Linked DNA regions of Drosophila melanogaster. The protein of the gene in region 1 interacts with the protein of each later gene in a pairwise test. Each region holds a gene or a part of one and is shown on either strand. Other genes may lie near its edges.

Evidence for each region.
Region 2: the proteins of TAF1B (region 1) and Polr1B interact in binary tests that used the Drosophila melanogaster proteins (3 or more experiments, as listed by UniProt).

What each region holds. Positions count from the first base shown.
Region 1 is NT_033777.3:10,139,528-10,146,214, forward strand, and holds TAF1B (TATA box-binding protein-associated factor RNA polymerase I subunit B), read right to left. Parts: upstream 4,658-6,687; 5' UTR 4,545-4,657; coding exon 4,117-4,544; intron 4,062-4,116; coding exon 3,941-4,061; exon of another isoform or gene 3,828-3,940; coding exon of another isoform or gene 3,703-3,827; intron 3,648-3,702; coding exon of another isoform or gene 3,560-3,647; exon of another isoform or gene 3,543-3,559; intron 3,408-3,542; coding exon 2,967-3,407; intron 2,872-2,966; coding exon 1,243-2,871; 3' UTR 576-1,242; downstream 1-575. Other genes in the region: CG42759 (uncharacterized protein), read left to right, coding at 3,560-3,647, 3,703-3,827; invadolysin, read left to right, coding at 5,874-6,005. UniProt on the Drosophila melanogaster protein: Component of RNA polymerase I core factor complex that acts as a GTF2B/TFIIB-like factor and plays a key role in multiple steps during transcription initiation such as pre-initiation complex (PIC) assembly and postpolymerase recruitment events in polymerase I (Pol I) transcription.
Region 2 is NT_033779.5:402,303-408,498, forward strand, and holds Polr1B (RNA polymerase I subunit B), read left to right. Parts: upstream 1-1,982; 5' UTR 1,983-2,081; coding exon 2,082-2,171; intron 2,172-2,233; coding exon 2,234-3,733; intron 3,734-3,792; coding exon 3,793-5,592; 3' UTR 5,593-5,667; downstream 5,668-6,196. UniProt on the Drosophila melanogaster protein: DNA-dependent RNA polymerase catalyzes the transcription of DNA into RNA using the four ribonucleoside triphosphates as substrates. Second largest core component of RNA polymerase I which synthesizes ribosomal RNA precursors.

The DNA.
Region 1 (6,687 bases):
CAACGGTTAAAATTCCTGTCCACACATCCGATTCCACTGCACTTCTTGGGCACAGGCACTTTGGTTTCTGGTTATCACACTGCGCTGGACGGGCAAAGAGGCGTACAAAGGCACAATGGGAACTAATTTAAATTGAATTCGAACTCAGTGCTCGCGGCCAGTGGAAAAGTGGAAAATAGGGAAACTCAAACCGCAGCAGGGCAATAAGGCGAAACAGTCAGCGACGACGTTAAAATTAGCACTGAAACGCGCCGTGCGAATGCGCGCCTATGATTTCTTTACCCACTCTCACTGCTCCCAAGCGGAGGTGGCCTCTTTTCTAGCTAGATATAGCTATAAATATAGGTAAGATCACAAGAATATCGAAAAAAAGCATAAGATAATTCTTATCACCTCTTTCGCCGGATTTTTGAAGTAGGATCATCAGAGATAACTGCTTTATATGAAACAAAGCTAGTAAGACATTAAAAGGAAATCGCTCCTATGAGAGCGTTGACAACGTTAAACTTAAAGCAAATATAAACTATCACAATTGAACACCCTTTAAATTGTTATATATGTAAGTGATTTTTTTTGGTTTATTTATTTTATTTTGTTGTTTATTTGGTATAATTACTTTATAAGTAGAACTGTTCAAAAACAAGCCAAGTGAGCTCCTCTGTTTCCCCAAGTACTCTCACGCTCTTTTTTTGCTCTCTCCAGTTGGTGATGACCGTGGGGCCTGGCGCTCTCTTTTGAAGAAGATTTTTGTAAACAAAACCGCGACACGCATTGTTGCTGCTAATGTGATTGTTGTTGTTCTGATAAACGCTAATTTGCCTATTGATATTGATGTTAATGTGCCTTTGCTCACACAGTCGCGGCCAAGGAGATAACACTGCCCCTTAATACATAGATCGTTTCAATCTAAAATGGATGCAAATTTAACATTTGGGCATAGGAAAACGTATGGGTAGACAACGAATATTTTTGTTAAATGAATTGATCACTTTCGATAAGTGTGTAAATCATAAATTCCTGAACTTAAGCTATTGACGTAGTGGGTGTGTCATGTTTGTACTTTGGTAACTGCTTAACACACAGATTTATTTGCATCATAATCACTGTTGAAAGATTTCTACAGGTTATATACACAAAAAGAAAATCTATCATTTGAGGTAGAGCACTACGTAGAAGAATATTATATTTTATACAGATGGCATCGTTGTTTGTTAATTCAAAACTTTTAATACTTCTAATATACTACCATAACTCCTTGTACGTCCTGGCGAGGGTTCGGATGTCCTTCTCTTGAGTATTGTGTTGAATACACAGATAGTTCCTATGATTGCTCCAGTCCCTGATGCTGTGATGGTACATCACTTCCACAATGAGCAGTTCCTCGTAGAGCTCCTCCCAGACTATGCCTATTGTGCTGGCACACGTCTCCAAGAGCCAACGGAAGGAACAGGGGAACAACTGACGCAGTTCATGCTTGTCATGCCTCCGAATTCTTTTCATATAGCCGTGTAGAAGCCAGCAATCAAAATTTGACACTTGCAATAACAGCGTCTCAGGGCTTGGCGGCTCATCATTGATATCGCTCGCTACTTGGTCTGATGCTCTATCAGAACCTTCCGGATTCAAAATTTTTTCCAGATTGCGACGGGGCAGATCTAGAGGGATGTTTAATGGATCCATGGTCCCTTCCTCGAAGGTTTGCAGTGAGCTAAGGCTGTCAAGTGGTATCTCGTTATCGTTGAGTTTGAGAAGAAAGCTGGGCGTTTCGGTAACATCCCAAAACGGATTATTTATCTCAAGTTGCACACGCCTTGCGTCGCGCATTGTTATACGTTTCAAATATCGGGCTCCATAGGTTCCAGTGGGCTGTGTGAACCGAAAGTCCGGCCGTTTCTCCTTACGCTTTAGCTCGCTTATCCACGTCTCGGTTTTAATTTCAGTGTTGGCGCGGTATTCTCGACCGTCACCTCGGATTATTGTTAGTGGGCGGAATATGCCCACGTTTTGGATGTCCTCCTGGCAGGCAAGCTCCTCTACTCGTAGTTTAAGGCCATGTTGGGACAAATACTGCGACAGCTCGGTCGTTTCCAGCACAAAGGGATCCAGGTTGCGGGCCGAGTGATCCACTTTCATGTGGTCAGGAATTGTGATTTTCATTTTTGCACCATCAGACCGCGATACTTGGAGTAGGATTCTGTTGAAGTAGGAGTGAGCCGGAGTCAAGCTGGGCTGGAATTCAATGTGTTCCTTCTCCATACTTTCTTTGCTGGACTCGCCAAAATGGTCCTTCAGCATGGTTTCAATAATGTGTGTCAGGTTTTCATGCTGACGCTTCATTGCCGCAGATCCCTGCATCCAGCCAAAGGTTTCGCCTTGCTCCTTCTCTTTCCACTCCTTTGCCAGTATGTCGTCCACCTGACAACCAGTCCGGGTGGATACCCCGAAGCGACGGGCAAAACTTTGGTTGTAATGTGAGACAATCACTTTCCTCATCTCCACAAACTCCATCCACTCGGTAAAAACAAAAAGCAAGGGAGCCTCATCTCCGCCGACTTCCAGCAGTTTTTCATTGATTTTAGCGGCCGATTCAGATATATTCCGCTCCTTGAGATCGTCCAAGCCGAAGAGCAACTTCATGGCGTAGAGGATGTAGGCCATAGTCCTGGCCTCATAGCGCGGATACGGATGTACGGTCATGGCGTTAAAAAAAGTGGGCGGATGCAGGTCAAGCAGGCTATTCACGTACTTCAGTAGCCGAGGTGGCAGTGCCAACTCCAGAATATATCGCTCCGCTAGGGAGTGCAGGTTCGGTTTTTGATATTCAGACAAGTTTATGAATCGTGACATACACGCGATGTTTACACGCAGAAGCTGTGGAGAATATAAAGATAATTATTAGTTGTGTTCCTTTTTATTAATAGATATTTCTATTTTTCTATCGTTAGAAAATGATGGATTATAGTCACCTTGTTGGTAACCTTGTCTTTCATTTTGCTGAGCTCCATATCTTTGAGCAGTGCCTTGCCCTTGGCCGCCACATTTCCGGGCAGATAGTTAAGCATGCACCGCTTGGTCAAGTGCTCCTCATCAATGAAGCGCAGCAAGTCCGATAGCTGTATATCATCCTCCACCATATTAAGGGCTATGCCCAGCACCACATACAACTTGATAATATTCAGGCAGTAGATGTTACGATCAAAATTGTGGAGCTGCTTGACCCTCGGTCTCAAGCTGTGGCACGACATACTACCCTTGCTGTCGCGGCTATGCTTGTCCAGGTGCTTCAGCGGCATATGGCGCTTCAAGGACTTGCGTGCACGCATTGACCATTGCAGGTGGAGACTCTGCTCCCCTTCGGACTCTGAAGCTCCTCCGTGCGAGCGGTAGCCGGAGGCGTCTAGATTGCGCTGCAAAAGGAATGGGATCAAGGTGTTACAGTCGCATCTGAGTAAACATCACTAATGAATAGGCTAACTATGTCATTTATATAGCTTGTGGAGCTATAAAAGACGAACGTGTTCAAGTCAGCAGCAATTTGGTAAAGTGTGTCGTTGCAAATATGTCCATGCGTCTGGTTCTAATTGGCGTGGCCATCCTGGCATTGGCCTACGGACAACCTGTTCCCGGAGCTCCAGAAGTCACTGAAAGTAATTAGATAAACTAATCCTAACGCTTATTGTTCATCCAACATATTCGCCACAGATTCTAATCCAGTACAGGAGATAAATACAGCAAAACCCATGTATAATGACTACCAACGGACCCTTTTCCTGCTGCTGCCCCTGCTGTTTCCTAACCAATTCTATATACCGACTACCAGCGGCTAATAAACTACCTTAGTTCTGTTCCACAATCTGAACTTGGCGCGCTCGTCATTTGGGTCACCCGTTAGAGTGCTCTTCTTGCCCTTTATACCGACTACCAGCGGCTAATAAACTACCTTAGTTCTGTTCCACAATCTGAACTTGGCGCGCTCGTCATTTGGGTCACCCGTTAGAGTGCTCTTCTTGCCCTTTTTGCCTTTCTTGAATGTCTTATGGTTGTAGATGATGCGGGCATCTCTGAAAGAATTCGGAATTTAAAAATAAGAAATTTTAGGAGAATGCAAGAACCCACATGGGCAGCGCCCGCACATTCAGTTTAGGCAGTCCCGTCTTGTTGCTCTTGCTGAAGGCCACCTCCATGCTGTCCAAGTAAGCCGCCCACACTTGCAGGGTCATCAGTTTGAGCTCCGGCTTGGCGCCCATGTTGAGCAGCTCCTGGAGGAAGCCGCGCAGCACGTAGTTGTAGAATTCCCACGAGGTGATATCGTCCTCATCCTCCTTCTCCGTATCCTTCTTCTGTCGGATCGTCCTGGCTGTATATCGGCCTGCTGCCGTGTCATCAAAGTTATCCTCGGCGGTAATGTCCACTGCACGAATCTGATCCTTCTGTGTGCCACACTCTACGCAGTAGTAGAATCCCTCGCGCTCCTGGAAGGTGGTACCCTCGCACACATCGCAGTGCATGTTCTCCAGCTGCATCGTCTCGAGAACTTCCTCCATTTTTGGGACTTTCTCTTGACGGTATCAGATTTAAATTATATTATTAATCAAACTCGCGGTTGTACACAAATCGTGCATGTGATAGTGGTGGGGAATGATCTATGTTTACAACGATATCATCCGTTCTTCGATTGATTCGATATATCGTCCGTTTCTTCTATGAAAACGTACATCACTAGATTAAGGCGGCAAATAAAAGTTGGTTCAAAGTAACATATTTTTAGTCATGGTATTTTAATAAAATTTTATTTTTATATAAAATTTAGAGAGCGGTTTTTTTTTGAAAGTATATATTAAAATCTAATAAGCGTAAAGGGTATTTTTTATTGTTTTTTATGCCAACCTGTTAGATGCACTTGTACGTTAGCCATCACTGAACTCTAATCTCTCGTAACATTTCTGTTATCTTTTTGGTGTGACCATAAGCAGTAAGAATTGAATTATCCATGTCTTGACGCTTGATTTTTAAAAAAGTCGATTCGAAATATCGATAGGCAACGTAATTTTTTAGCGCTAATAAGAGGTGTTACCAGATTCGGAAAAGCATAAGAACGCGTTTTTCGTTTTCGTTGAATGGCCACTCTGTCCTTGTGTCCATGTACTTATGCATATGTATAGAGACTCGATTCAAAACAAAATCGGCTGGCGAACGTTAACGTCGTTGTCGGACGATTCGACTCGCGTCTCTCTAAGTTTGTTGTTCGTGCCAACCACCCCCGCCGGTACCCAAACGCCCCCTTTTCGCGCGAGTGTTTTTATGGTTTTGCTGAATGAAAAGGCTCGACGAATGCGCTTATTGAGTGCCCACTGTGTCGGGTATGGCAGTGAGTCCTACAGAATGCTCTCGCTGCACGGACAGTTCATGAGAATTTGACATTTAAGTGCGAGTTTGTTCCTCCTTTTGCGGCTAACTGCAGTTTGTAGTTTGCTGTAGTTTTATGCACATTTTTTTGGCGTGGGCTGAGATTGGGACACACCCACCCGAAAACAAAAACAAAAAGTAGTCCAAAGGCCCCAATAATTGAGTGTCTCTGTGTGTGCGTATGTACGTGTGTGTGCGAGTTGTTTATGTGTGCGAGTGAGAGGAAAGGGATTCGAATCGAGCCGGTTTTCGCGAGTTAATTGACAAAGCAAACGGCGGAAAAGCAGCAAACATAAGCAAACCAAAGAGGAAAATAAACAAAGAATTTTAAGTGCAGATATGGGTGTTCGAAGTCAAGTGATAATTAAACAAAAATCACACTAATCCTGACAATGAAAAGGATCACCGCTACAATGCTGAGTACTCTATAATATCCACGGCGATATTCCACCCCGAAGTAAAACACCATGGCCAAAACGCCCCCGCTCCGCCCCCACGGTAACATGGCCAAATTCCTGGCAGCCCTCGGCATCTGCTCTTGGCTCCTCGTTTCGGCCACCGCTCACAACTGCCAACACCAGCATCCAAAGGCCCACGAGGTGAGTTGCGTTCGTTTGGCTCCAAAAATGAAGGGATTGGATTGAATTGGATTGGACTCTATGGTATTGGGTTGAATTGGCCTTCTTCTCTTACTCCGCCCTTTCTTGCAAATAAAACAAATAATATCCGGGAAAGGGCTATTTTGGGAACACGGAATCTTTAAGTGCTCACCCGCACACGTGTGCCAAATATTTACAATCCCAACTACATTAATATTAGTCTTTTTTTTTTTAGTCTTGCAACTAGCTAAGATTTTTCATGCTAGATAGCTAGATTACAAGATAGTATAAGGTATGAAGATGGTTTGGTAATTTCAAAAGAAAGAGTCCTTAAAGTTTAAATCAGCTGGAAAATCGCAACTTCGGAAATTTCAATGCTCGAGTTTCTTGTTTGTTTCTGCTTCGGCCATTTGGGCAGATTGTCCTTCGTGCTCATTAGAGAAATTTCATAATTGGTGCAAACTGTGCTCGTCGAAAATTTATAATTGATTGGGCTTTGGCATGAAAAAGGCAGGCCTAATTAGTGCCGATTTAAGAGGAGCCCTGAAATTGCCATTCTCATAATTCTGCCATAGAAACAGCGGCAAAAAACTGAAACAATAAACATCTAGCGATGGTTGGTGGCAACCACAGCTTATTGACTAATTCCGCTGGCTAATAATATGCGCATTCGAGATTCAGT
Region 2 (6,196 bases), on another chromosome or scaffold:
TTTCGAGCATTAGAGATTCTTGTTATGTTGAGGGTTTGGCAAGATGTCTGAGAGTCTTCTTAGGACTCTTCCCTTCACATTCTTAATTGTTCTTTTTAGTTTTATGCACATTTTAATTAGAAGAACGTGTCAGATGAATCCGTCTAAAATTATACACAAGCGTCATTTTAATTATGAGTAAGGGGTAAAACAAAACAAAACTCTTGCCACATCGCCTGTCAAGAAATGAAGATCAAGACCAGTTGTCAAGAGCTGAAAGAGAAAGATCCGCAACACTTACTAGGTGAATGATCTGCACTGTTTTGAAGACGATGTTTCCTAACATCAGGAACTTTAATTACATATAAAAAGCATACAAAAGAATTAGCATTACTCTCAGTTTTGGTATTAGGTAAAAACTCTGGGTGAGTATGAACACATGTTCAAGGTTAAATACAGCACAATCCTATTCATTTTTCAATTCATACACGATCACAAACTTTTCTTAGCGCACCCCTGTCTGACCCACATTCGTTGACCATTATCACTTCGTTAAAGAGAATAAATCTCTGGACCTTTATTAACCAATTTGTGATAGTGGCATAGGGTATCCCGCGCACCCCCGAACTCAATGAAAATCTTTCGCGCGAAAGTTTCAAATGAAAATCCATTTGCTAGCTGATTTTTGCACTGGCCACGCCAACTTCCTGTTTTTTTCCCCCAGTGCGCGCATTTGAAAAGTGGGAAACACGCAGCAACGATTCCAAACCAAGGACGGTGAAGGGTTTTCCGGGGTAGGAAGGAAGGATGGCGCACACATTTGGCAAAGTGTCGCCAGGCTTGAAAATGAAAATCAACAATGCAATTTGCCATGGCGCCTCGCTCTGCCCCTTAGTTCTAGGTTTCTCTGTTGTTTGTAGCGACTCAAAAGGGAAAAAATTCTGCTAAAAACTTGAAGCGCCAGGCAAAAGTTGGGCCCCAGGAACGCCCTCAGCTTTTGCAGAGATTGCACACAGGCAAATGTGCAGCGAAAGTTGAAAGTAGCAAGGATACAAGAACCAGGCATCAAGGACGCTCTGCCCAAAATAAGTTGCAAGAAATCCATTGTGTTCATTATAATGGAATAATAAACCGGAGTGACTGCGTTCAGATTGGGGTTCTTTCCTTTTCCATTAGCCCCTGAACCATCTCAAATTGATGATATTTTCTTGATGTTCCCACAACCACTTCATGTTTTCACGTTAAAACCCAACAAAGTAATTTGGCAATTCCAATACAAGAAAAATTAAGAAATCTGGCATCAGCCTTGATTAACACCTATCTTAAGACGAAATATAATGTTAGTAAAATTTTCATATTCTCGCAGTCATTAGACATTAATGTGCCAGTCAGTGGGGTTTAAGCCCAAGTATTCGACAAAACTGCTTCTTAGAAGCTTTAGATGGCGTATTTTGGGGAGGGTGCTTCAGATTAATATGCACATACATACATATGTGCATACATACGCCACCTATGTGGCTCACAACAATGCAACAACTTCATTGCCAGAGCAACACGTTGGCACATCCTGTTGCAAAGTCTCATTTCCGCAGGAGTTGTGTTCTACATACCGGATGCCTTTGCAAATGCTAAATGGTTATTGCCGTATGTGCACAATATGTCAGACGTTGCAAATAAATTATATTTGCTTTTATACAACTTGGATACAATTCAAAATTGGGTTATCAGGCTTATCAAGCGCGCACATATCAGCTGTTCCTTGCATTCGGTTGGCAGCCCAGTTATTTAAAGATGAGCTGAACACGAATCGGAACCATACGACAATTCACCGAACTTTAAGGTTATTTTAGTGTGTTCTATTAATCTGAATACAAATTTTTAGTGATGGTTCTTTATTTACCGAAAATTTTTATCCCAATCATCTATATTCTTATTTCATTCAGTTATATGAACAATATAATATATGAACTAGTTCTTTGCGACTGCCTCACCACTGACTGGTTCGCATTCAAAACGGTTCGATTCCAAACAACACGTGCGAAGGAAGGCAATAGGTTTCTTAATATTTTTGGTCGGCATTCTGAAAGAATAATACTTACAACATGCTGGAGGAGATGCAACAAATGAAGACCATTCCAGTGCTGACCAATTCCCGCCCGGAGTTTAAGCAGATACCTAAAAAACTCAGCAGGGTAAATATCAATCTTGTACCTATAGCAAGGTTTCGTGCTAATAGATTTACTTCTATGGCTAGCATTTGGCCAATTTGGGAGGTCCACATGTGGATTCCTTCGACGAGATGCTGACCGTGGGACTGGATAACTCGGCCAAACACATGATCCCGAACCACTGGCTGAGTCCTGCCGGCGAAAAGATTTCAATGAAAGTAGAATCAATATGGATAGCGAAGCCAAAGGTGCCGCAAGATGTGATTGATGTGCGCACCCGAGAGATTTACCCCACGGACTCCAGGCAGCTCCATGTCTCCTACTCGGGAATGTGCTCGGTCCGATTGGGGTGGAGTGTCAATGGAGTGCAAAAGACTCCCATAAACATGGACCTAGGAGAAGTGCCCATCATGTTGCGCTCCAAAGCCTGCAATCTGGGACAGGCTACTCCGGAAGAAATGGTAAAACATGGAGAGCACGACAGCGAGTGGGGGGGCATTTTTGTGATCCGAGGAAATGAGAAGATTGTACGTATGTTGATCATGACCCGGAGGAACCATCCCATATGTGTAAAACGTTCATCCTGGAAGGATCGTGGACAGAATTTTAGCGATTTGGGTATGTTAGTGCAAACGGTCCGTGAGGACGAATCATCCCTGAGCAATGTAGTACATTATTTAAACAATGGAACTGCAAAGTTTATGTTTTCTCACGTCAAGAGACTATCATACGTACCAGTTTGCCTGATCCTCAAGTGCCTAATGGATTATACAGATGAGGAAATATACAACAGATTGGTGCAAGGCTACGAGTCCGACCAGTACTATGTGTCCTGCGTGCAAGCCATGTTGAGGGAAGTTCAAAATGAAAACGTCTATACGCACGCCCAGTGCAAGAGCTTCATTGGCAATCTGTTCCGTGCCCGCTTCCCAGAAGTTCCGGAATGGCAACCGGATGATGATGTCACAGACTTTATTCTTAGGGAGCGAGTAATGATTCACCTGGATACCTATGAGGATAAGTTCCAGTTGATTGTGTTTATGATTCAGAAGCTTTTCCAATGCGCACAGGGCAAGTACAAAGTGGAGAACGTCGACTCAGCTATGATGCAGGAAGTGCTTCTGCCAGGCCATCTCTATCAGAAATACCTAAGTGAGCGAGTCGAATCCTGGGTCTCGCAAGTCCGACGTTGCCTTCAAAAAAAACTGACTTCACCTGATGCCCTAGTTACCAGTGCTGTGATGACGCAGTGCATGCGACAAGCAGGAGGAGTTGGCCGGGCCATAGAGTCGTTTTTAGCAACTGGAAATATTGCGAGTCGCACTGGCCTGGGATTAATGCAAAATAGCGGATTAGTCATTATGGCGGAGAACATTAACAGGATGCGTTACATGTCCCACTTTCGCGCCATCCACCGTGGTTCCTATTTTACAACGATGAGAACCACTGAGGCGCGGCAGCTGCTCCCGGATGCCTGGGGTTTTATTTGTCCAGTGCACACTCCTGATGGCACACCGTGCGGACTGTTAAATCATTTGACTCTAACTTGCGAGATTTCGATGCGTCCCGATCCCAAGTTGGTGAAGGTGGGTACAGCTAATGGTAGACTTTATTAGAAATTTTAACCGATTACTTTTTTTTTCAGGCCATTCCCAAGCATCTTATAGATATGGGCATGATGCCCTTGTCAAACCGAAGATATTTGGGCGAAAAACTTTACGTCGTCTTCCTAGATGGCAAACACTTGGGTCACATTCATCAATCAGAAGCCGAAAAAATAGTTGACGAATTGCGCTACGGGAAGATATTCGGCACCCTTCCCCAGATGATGGAAATCGGCTTTATACCCTTCAAGAAGAACGGTCAGTTTCCAGGGCTTTACATTGCAACGGGTCCTGCCAGGATGATGAGGCCCGTTTGGAACCTAAAGTGGAAAAGGGTGGAGTACATCGGAACACTGGAACAGCTTTATATGGAGATCGCCATCGATGCAAAGGAAATGTATCCTGACTTCACCACTCATTTGGAGTTGGCTAAGACCCACTTCATGAGCAACTTGGCCAACTTGATACCCATGCCGGACTACAATCAATCGCCACGTAACATGTACCAGTGTCAGATGGGAAAACAGACGATGGGAACGCCATGCTTGAATTGGCCTAAGCAAGCGGCCAACAAGTTATACCGCCTTCAGACGCCAGGGACTCCTCTCTTCCGACCAGTACACTACGACAACATCCAGCTGGATGACTTTGCAATGGGCACAAATGCTATTGTAGCTGTCATTTCCTACACGGGCTACGACATGGAAGATGCTATGATCATCAACAAGGCTGCTTATGAACGAGGATTCGCCTATGGAAGTATCTACAAAACAAAGTTTTTGACGTTGGACAAGAAGAGCAGTTACTTCGCAAGGCATCCACACATGCCGGAGTTAATAAAGCATCTTGACACGGATGGTCTTCCACATCCGGGCTCCAAATTGAGCTATGGTTCGCCCCTGTACTGTTACTTTGACGGAGAGGTCGCCACTTATAAAGTTGTGAAAATGGATGAAAAGGAGGATTGCATAGTAGAGAGCATCCGACAGTTGGGAAGCTTCGATTTGTCGCCAAAAAAAATGGTGGCCATCACACTGAGGGTTCCACGACCTGCCACTATTGGAGACAAGTTTGCATCAAGAGCTGGTCAGAAAGGAATTTGCTCACAAAAATATCCTGCAGAGGACTTGCCATTTACGGAATCTGGTTTGATTCCAGACATTGTGTTCAATCCCCACGGCTTCCCCTCCCGAATGACAATCGCCATGATGATAGAAACGATGGCGGGAAAGGGGGCTGCAATCCACGGAAATGTTTACGATGCCACGCCTTTTCGCTTCTCCGAAGAGAATACTGCTATTGACTATTTTGGCAAAATGTTAGAGGCTGGGGGTTACAATTACTACGGAACGGAGAGGCTGTATTCCGGCGTAGATGGCCGCGAGATGACTGCTGACATATTTTTTGGAGTGGTGCATTACCAGCGTCTTCGGCACATGGTGTTTGACAAGTGGCAAGTAAGATCTACGGGAGCGGTGGAAGCTCGGACCCATCAGCCAATTAAGGGCAGAAAACGCGGTGGAGGCGTCAGATTCGGTGAGATGGAACGGGATGCTTTGATCTCTCACGGTGCTGCTTTCCTGCTGCAGGATCGCTTGTTCCACAACTCCGATAAGACGCACACCCTGGTGTGCCACAAGTGCGGCTCCATTCTGGCGCCTCTGCAACGCATTGTTAAGCGAAATGAGACGGGAGGACTCTCTTCTCAGCCAGATACGTGTCGCTTGTGCGGGGATAACAGTTCTGTATCGATGATCGAGATACCATTCTCTTTTAAGTATCTGGTTACCGAATTGAGTTCGGTCAACATTAATGCGAGATTTAAGTTAAATGAAATTTGATTTAAATCTAAAATTATTGTTAGGTCCTATGTTAACCCGTGCGCTAATCGTAATAAAGATAAATACGTAAAATACAACTGTGCTTGCCAAGTGTTTATATCCAGATCGTGGAAACGTTTTAAACACCTTTCAAATGGTTTCAATTTATATTTATTTAAATACATATTGGTTTACGTTTACAGTTAAATTCCTGCACTTGCTATATGTAGTTGTGGCTTGGTTTTCTTGCTCTTGCAGTTGCTTTTGTTTTGTCTGTGAGTGTTAAATGGAATTTGTGTGGAATTTTGTAACATTTAACTATTGCACTTTGGAAATGCCTAAATTTCCAGCTGTCATGCACATTGGTTTTTACGAAAGGATCGAGAGTTTAATGGTAATAAGTATTTGATGTCAGTTTCCATTATCGGTTTTCAGTATCAGTATCTATATAGTGTATATTTTAGTTTACAATTCTTTGTTCTTTATCGGCAGCCGTCTCGCATTTGAAGAGAGTCATTAGCAGATTTATGGCTGGCGGCTACTGCTGCTGCTGCTTCAGATTAGTTAATACTTGGTGCTACAAAGATCGCTTTCTCTTCAGGAAGCGGCACAACATGAAGTAGCC